Linked DNA regions of Tribolium castaneum. The protein of the gene in region 2 purifies or fractionates together with the protein of the main gene of each other region. This does not show direct contact. Links are inferred from orthologs where the notes say so. Each region holds a gene or a part of one and is shown on either strand. Other genes may lie near its edges. The genes, in order: Cdk1 and CycB.

Region 1 (3,514 bases), on a different chromosome or scaffold from region 2:
TTTGGGTGGAAGGCCCCTTTACAATATTCCCGCTTCAGTCCTCATGACTATGTTTTTGTCTATGATTTGGTTATACGAGGTGCGTTCGCACCAAAAACTTTAAATATTCCTTGATTTATTATTGTAGGTTGTTAGCAATTACATCAGTCCGAAAAAAACGTTCCAATCGAACCCGTTAGAAAACTTGAAAGATGATAAAAACAACTGTCCCCAACATTTTATCTACTCGAAAAAAGACATTCTTATTCCTTATACGGTAACCATCTTAACTATTGTAGCCAATCATCTTTTTTTTTTTTTCAAGGATATTGAATATTTCGCCAACTATCGAAAATCTCTGGGTATCGATGTAACAACTCTCTGTTACGAAACAAGTCCTCATGTTAAACACTACACCGAAAATAAAGAAAGTTACGTGAGTAGCGTATGCAATTTTTTAAATAAATGCCTAAATGGCACAAATTAATTCACACAAAAAACATTTCAACGCTTAATTAAACTTTAGGGTACAATTTATTTTTCTAGACGTTGTTGAATTGCACAAAATGTATTTATTTCAATTGTTTCATTAAAACTATGTTCCCAAATGATCTGCTTTATGTTGCGCCACTGTCCCGCATTTCCTTTCACTGTTACCATAGCTACATTGACGCATCACCATAGCAATATACACGTGCAGCTCGTGCATGATGTATTAAGGAGGTTTTCAAACACAAAAGATTTTTTAAACAAATATATTTAGAAAATAGTCATACTAAACACGATAAACCTAAACCTAACCGCTTATTTAAGGATCGGCTTTATTGACGTATCAACCTTTTGCAAATACGGATGTAAAGCGATTTTTTTGGCCGAAATCCTCTTGGCCGGGTCATAAATCAGCATTTGTTTCAACAAATCTATAGCGTCGCTAGTCATATTTTTTACCTGACTTTCCAAAGTACATGATTTCCAATTAGGGAACGTAACCTTATATTCAGGTAATGTGGACACCCCTGGCCAGATTTCGTCGCTTGGTGTTTTCAAAACCCTGAATCGAAAAAAAATGCAAGTTGTTTTCGTTTCTATAGTTACATGATTTGATTACCGAAAAATGCGGAAAAGTTGGTCGATTTCGGAGTCGCCTTGGAAAAGGGCTTTTTTGTTGGCCATTTCGGCGAAAATGCAGCCCAGAGACCAAATATCAATAGGGCACGAGTAACGTGCAGAGCCGAGGAGCACCTCGGGGGCGCGGTACCACAAAGTGACAACTTCGTGCGTGTAAACGCGAACCGGGACCCCAAAGGCGCGCCCTAGTCCAAAATCGGCCACTTTGATAGCCCCTTCGGAGTTGATGAGCAGATTTTGGGGCTTAAGGTCGCGATGAAGGACTCGTCTTTGGTGGCAGAAGAGAATGGCTTCGTTGATTTGGTAGAGGTAGCTTTTGACGAGTTGGGGGTCCATGTAGGAGCCCTGTGGGATGGTGTCGAGGTACTTCTTTAAGTCCATTGACAAAAATTCAAAAATTAGGTAAAGACGATTCTCTTCCATCATCACGTCTTCCAGGGAGACTATATTGGGGTGTGTGAGCTCCTTCAGGAGGGAGATTTCGCGAATGGCTGTGGAAGGCACACCTTCGTCTTCGGGTTGCAGTCGGATTTTTTTCATTGCGACTAGCTGACCCGTCTTCTTGTTTTTGCCCTTGTACACCACACCGTAAGTGCCTTCACCAATTTTTTCGATCTTGAGGAAGTCATCCATGTTGGCCCCCTGTTTCGACATTGCCCCAATATAACCAAACTTTCCACTTAAAATGACGTTTATAACGTCAAATTGCAATGCCTACACGACCACAAACACGATATTTTATTCAAAGCACACGAGTTTTGTTAATTTTTACACACTTTTAACGGCTCGTTTGAAGAAATATGGAGAAAGTTCGTTGGAGATTTTTGAACCAACCAATCGGGTACAATTATCCCCGTCTCTATCGCACTCACGTCAATCACAATAACCTGTCTTTTTTTTGGCGTAAATAGACACACATTACCAACTTCAGACACACAAAATTACTATACGATCGCCAAATAATAGCTTTGGCCAAAAAATGGGTGTTAAAATCCTTTATTATTGTTGTATAATAATTACAAAATCAAGCATTAATACGTGAATAAAATTACTGACAAAAAAAATCCATTTAACCTTTCAAACTGCTCATTCCGGCTCTCATTATTTCATCAACCAACAATAAATTGCTTGCAATCACCGAACACGAATTAATTATTTGTTTCTTCACGATGTAATTATCGAAAATTCCGGCATCTTTCGGATTAATCGGTTGTCCTGAAGCTAAATCAAGCCCAATTGGTTCCTTATTGTTACGAGATTCTTCTTGAAGTTTTACAATAGTATCCTAAGAACAACAAATAACTATAAAACAATCAATGAGAAAATCACACAAACCTGAGCATCGAAACCAGAATTCGTTGCCAAAACTTTGGGAATTACAAGAAGGGCTTCCGCGTAAGCACCAATTCCAAGACGCGATTTTCCTTTAACGGTGTCCTTGTAAGCCATCAATTCTTTGTGGGCGGTCACCTCAAAAGCCCCTGCGCCTGAAAAATATCACAAAAAACTGTTTTGTGTGCAAAATCAATTTGAATTAAGCGCTATGACATTTAGTGATTTTATTGGTACGGTTGGTAGCGAAACAATTGGCGGTGCATCAAATTTCGTGATGGCCGCTTACCGCTTAGTAAATTCGGGAAAAATCGCTGTTAAATCGGTTATTTCGTGCAAATGTTTGTGCAAAAGTGTTCAAAGACTTTCAGTGTTCCGATGTGTTGATCTAAACGGCGATTTTCAACATTGACAAGTAAGTACCGAAGTTGGGTTTTTGGTGATGGGAGTAGTTGAAGCAACTCGTAAATTCAATTTTTGAGCTCTATTTTAAACGGAAAACGCATTGTGAGTCTAATAAATTAACAATTGTGTGGCCAGGTCAGGTCATTGACCCCTATTTACAATTTCAAAGCCTAGTAACGCACATTTTTAAGACGCGTCACAAAATGACTGTGACGTCATCCATTAAGCAACTAGATATTTTGTTAATTTCGGGAAATGAGTGAGTTTCTGACTGAAAAATAATGCGCTGGAACCTTAAAAAAAGTTCAAAAATAATATAATGCTGGGCTTAATTTTGTAGTTTTGTGCAAATATGCTTGAAAAACGGCCTAAATTTAACGATAGTTTAGATTTTTTACAATTCTTGACTACAAAATTTAAAAAATACACAAATTTGGTGATTTTTTGGGAGATTTATGATGAAATTCAGCAAAAATTCCCATGTAGAAACTCATAAAAAGGATAATTTAATTTTTTTTTAATTCAGTTTTGTCTTTTTATTACCTGGAATCAAGGCTTTGTCCTCTATGGCATTATTGATGGCCCTTAATCCATCCCTCACAGCATCCTTGATTTGAGTGAGAGTGTGTTTATTGGGCCCTTTAATAAGAATGGTGACCGACTGTGGTAT
Region 2 (4,396 bases):
CGCTGTTTCAGCCCTGTTTATTAAAAGAGGTTTCTCGTTAGCCAAGCGGTTGAGACTGTCTGCTAATACAGGGCGTCGGCTCGGTCCTGCGGGTAAATGGTTTTTAATGGGTCTGGCGACCATTGCGTTTTCACGGTTTTCGACCGACGTTACGATACCACGGTGGGCCATCTGTAAAAAAACTTTTTAAATTTGTATGTAAAAAAAGTGCTAAAAGTTTTAGTCAAAAAATCTAAGGTCTATCTTCTCTTCGGTTATTTTCGTGTCATCATTATCGATTGTTTTATACAGAGTGAGTTTAAAGTAACGCATAAAATTTGTAATTCTTTTATTTTTCAAAAATAAAAAACTGCAAATACAGGGAGCTTAGCATTTTAGTTGAGCTCGAATTGACCTAACTGGATCAGTCATAGCGGCGAATATGGCGGCGTCATGACGTCATCACAGATTTTTCTAAATGGAACGATATCATTTTTGTTGTATAATTACTTAACTAGAAGCCTTACTAATAGGCAGTTAACATCGTGCTACTTATTCTGAATATGGATGAATGAAACACGTAAAAATTTTTTTTGGTCACTAAAAAGTGACATAAAATTCATATTACTTTTTTTCCAAAATTAAAAATGTGAAAACAGGTAATTTAGTATTTTAATTGATCTCAAATTTGACGTAACTACACACATTATCACAGAATTTTTGAAATGGGACGATATGATTTTTCTTTTATTATTAGAAGCCTTCCCAATAGGCCTTTACAATGCTACTTATTTTGAATGTGGATGAAGCAAACACGAAAAAAAAAGAAATAAAATTTCCATTAGTCCAAAGCAGTGGTTCCCAACTCCTTCTAAAATCCGACAGAAAATGGCAAACCTCTTGTATATAGATACAGTAAAACCTCTCTTAACGGACACCTCCGAATAACGGACACCTTTTCACAACGGACATTTTTGTAGGAACGTAACGAAAACTATATTAGAATTTCCACCTGCCATTAGTGGACACCTCTCCACTACAGACAATTAAAGATTCCCCATCGGTGTCTGCTATTGCTATTGCTATTTATTTTCCTTGTTGCACATTGTGAACTGAATGAATCTTAATAAATATGAATTAAAAAAAAAACTAATACATAATTAGTATATTTTAAATTTTTTATTTTAAAATTAGTAACAGAGTGCAGTTAATATTATGTAAGAGAAATTTTTTAAACAGACATGTTAAATAGTTCTTACGCTGGCACCATAATAGCCAATTCATTCGTAGTAATTTTAGTAAAGAAAGTCAGATCCAGTGTTTGATTTATTTTGAAAAATGATGTTAGGTGTTAGCAAAAAAAACCTATAAAAAATCTAAATACGAAAACACAAATACAAAGATAAATTCCCTATCGATAAGAATTTTTGATGTAAATCTGAAAACAAAAGGTGTTAAATTTACACTGCAATTAAACAATTAAGCAATTTACAAAAAAGTAACGAAAATGCAAAATAATTATGAGAGACAGAAAGCAATTAAATAAAGGTAGCTGAATTCATCTCACTTTACAAAGGAATAACAAAAATAAATTAATAATAAATAATAAGTGAATTAAAAAAATGCAATTTTTTTAAAATAAGGCTGAAGAAAAACTTGCTATAACTTCAAACCCATTTCATTTCAAATAAATAACAGAAAACTGATAGTTAATCTTGTTTATTTAAATTTATTGTTTTGTAATTTTTTACGTTAACGTTTAAAAATTCTGCCATTATAATACCTTTTTTGGTGAATCCCCTTTATACACACCGCGAACCCCCGGGGGTTTGCTAACCACCGGTTGGGAAACACTGATCTAAAGTAAGGTATAAAATTCATATAAATTGGGCACTATGACTGATCAGTTAGGTGAGAATTGAGCTCCTTTAAAATACTAATAAGTTATTTTATTTTACAAAAGTAACAAAAACATTAATTTTATTATGAAAATTTATTTTGTGTCATAGAAAAAAGTATGTGCTATGGAGAATAATGTTACAAAGAATCTACTACGATAAATTTGCGTTGAGTTGTGTTACTTGTAAGTGTCACTGCATGTTTAGAAGAAGTTTTCTTTGAATAAAAATTTTAATTTGGCACTTAGTCCCTTTGATATTTCAACGCTTCAATTATAAAAAAAAAATAATAAATAAAATGAAAAAAAAAAAACAATTTATTTTTTTAATTTTTCAATCTATTTAAAGGTTTATCATGAAAACTCTTTCATTTCAGAGGAAATCTTTGAGAAACGACTTTGTAACTTTGCACTTTATGCACACTTTGCAAAAATCTGTAAAACGGGTGAGAAAATTGGTGGAACACATTAACTTTAGATAGAGTTTACAATTTTTACAAAGTACAAAGTTGCAAAAAATATTTGTAGAACAGGGCTCAGTTAATTCGTATTATTAGAGAAATTTGGAAACAAATTTAAATGCCACATTAGATATTCACTTTTAAAATCATCCGCCTGCAATCATTCCCCACATTAGTAAAATGTAAACGAGACGGATTTAGTCACGAGATTGCCCTTTAAATAAAATCTCATAAAAAGTTTGACGATAAATGCTGTTTGAAAAATGACCGTTACAAGCTGCAACCGTCTGTCATTTAAATGAAATCGAAAGAAACGCCAAATAATGAATGAAACAGGACTCACCTTGTGTAAATTGTAAAAATTATAAAACACTGGGTATAGAAAGGAATAGATTTCACGTCACCCTTTTCACTTTTATAAAAATTTCCGGTGTGGATGCAAGCAGCAACGTTGTCATGTCAAATGGTCGACAAACGAGCAATGGACATTTAAATTTCTCAGAGCGTTTGTGATTGGTCGCTGCTACCACCGCGCTTTCTTGAATTGCACGCGCCAAATTCAAAAACTGTTCAAGATCCATAATCAGGAATTATTTGTTATAAATTATAATTATTTTCAGGGCAAGAGTTTCACGGAGGCGGAGGTGCGCGATATATGTGCGGCAGTGTTACGAGGTAAAACCACTTAATAATTTTCTTGAATTATTTAAATTGTAAAATTCTGCCAAATTAAAAACTTATCGTTATCAGACCAGCTAAACGAGTTATCTGCAACTCTGATCGGACCCCCCGGTCCTCCGGGTCACTCCCGACCCGGTCGGCCGGGCCCCCCAGGTGTCCAAGGTCCACCAGGTACTGCCTGATTATTTTTAGCACACCCATCACATTTCACTGCATTTCCATTAACTAATAATGCAATTGCATGCAGATAGACACGCTGAACTAATACTTGGGTTACGGGGGCCACCGGGGCCTCCTGGCTTGACTCGAACCGGCCCATCTGGACGATCAGGAGCCCCCGGTATCCCAGGTTAGCTTCAATGCACAAAAGAACGCAAAAAACGACAAAAGCTATATTTTTGCATATTAAAGGTGACATAGGACCACCCGGTTTACCCGGAGAAAGGGGCTTCATGGGGCTGCCGGGACCGGCAGGGTCTCCAGGCTCGATAGGTTTGCCGGGAGAAAGGGGCGAGAAGGGTGACAGAGGGCCCGAAGGAGTTGGAATAGAAGGGCCAATGGGGCCTAGGGGGCTGCCAGGTTTGTTGAAGTTTTTTGAGTTGTGAATAAATTGGGTCAATTTGTGCGTTGTAGGTCCTCCGGGACCTCCAGGTGTTGGGTTACAGGGAAGTACAGGTGATAGGGGAGAACCGGGAAGACCGGGTCCACCTGGTTTAAGAGGTACACCTGGGCCACAAGGGGCTCCAGGATACTGCGAATTTTGTAATAATCTCCAAAACTACCAGTACTATGCGGCAATGGCTGCTAGGTCTGGGGGAAATGATAAAGGGCCGTAATTAGATAATTTAGATAAACCTTATTCCATGTGTTCACTCTGTTATCGATTTAGCTTAGCACTGATTATTTTTGTTTAAATGTATTAATATTAAGTTAATGACAAGCGTTCCTATTCCTGTTGTAAGTAACAAAGATACTTTGCCGAAATATGTTATTAACAACAATCAATAATTGTAGAAACAGAGGAACGTATCAAAACAATATGTACATACTATGGAATGATAATAAGCTAATAAATAATAATAAAGAAATATAAAACAGTATTTACTTCATTCAATTTATTTTTTTATTTGCTACAAATCATGAACTGGGGCCTGTTTCATAAAACAATTGACCATGCAAATGCTTACATACAGAGTGTCCCAGCGATTAGAATAAGTCTATTATTGATCTTTAAATGTTTGAAAATTATATTTTTTACATCTGCCGTAGATACTAACCTCCTGACAGTCCTGACTATAGAGCACCTGTATTTTTTGCATTTTTGATGTAATTTTTAATGATGTTTTGTTGTTTTTTGTCATTTTTGCTTAGTTTTTGA

What was found.
Region 1: the proteins of CycB (region 2) and Cdk1 purify together in Drosophila melanogaster (affinity purification with western blotting; 8 studies listed by BioGRID, with this or other methods). This does not show direct contact. The link is inferred for Tribolium castaneum from reciprocal best matches to the Drosophila melanogaster genes CycB and Cdk1.

Annotation. Positions count from the first base shown.
Region 1 is NC_087401.1:17,534,523-17,538,036, forward strand, and holds Cdk1 (cyclin-dependent kinase 1), read right to left. Parts: upstream 1,970-3,514; 5' UTR 1,762-1,969; coding exon 1,088-1,761; intron 1,031-1,087; coding exon 784-1,030; 3' UTR 717-783; downstream 1-716. Other genes in the region: transmembrane protein 53, read left to right, coding at 1-79, 128-256, 305-466; CCT6 (T-complex protein 1 subunit zeta), read right to left, coding at 2,177-2,392, 2,443-2,594, 3,388-3,514. UniProt on the Drosophila melanogaster protein: Plays a key role in the control of the eukaryotic cell cycle. Required for entry into S-phase and mitosis.
Region 2 is NC_087396.1:19,035,949-19,040,344, reverse strand, and holds the start of CycB (G2/mitotic-specific cyclin-B), read right to left. Parts: upstream 2,840-4,396; 5' UTR 2,681-2,839; intron 183-2,680; exon of another isoform or gene 172-182; coding exon 1-171. Other genes in the region: collagen alpha-3(IX) chain, read left to right, coding at 2,958-3,012, 3,088-3,189, 3,266-3,367, 3,430-3,597, 3,652-3,854. UniProt on the Drosophila melanogaster protein: Essential for the control of the cell cycle at the G2/M (mitosis) transition.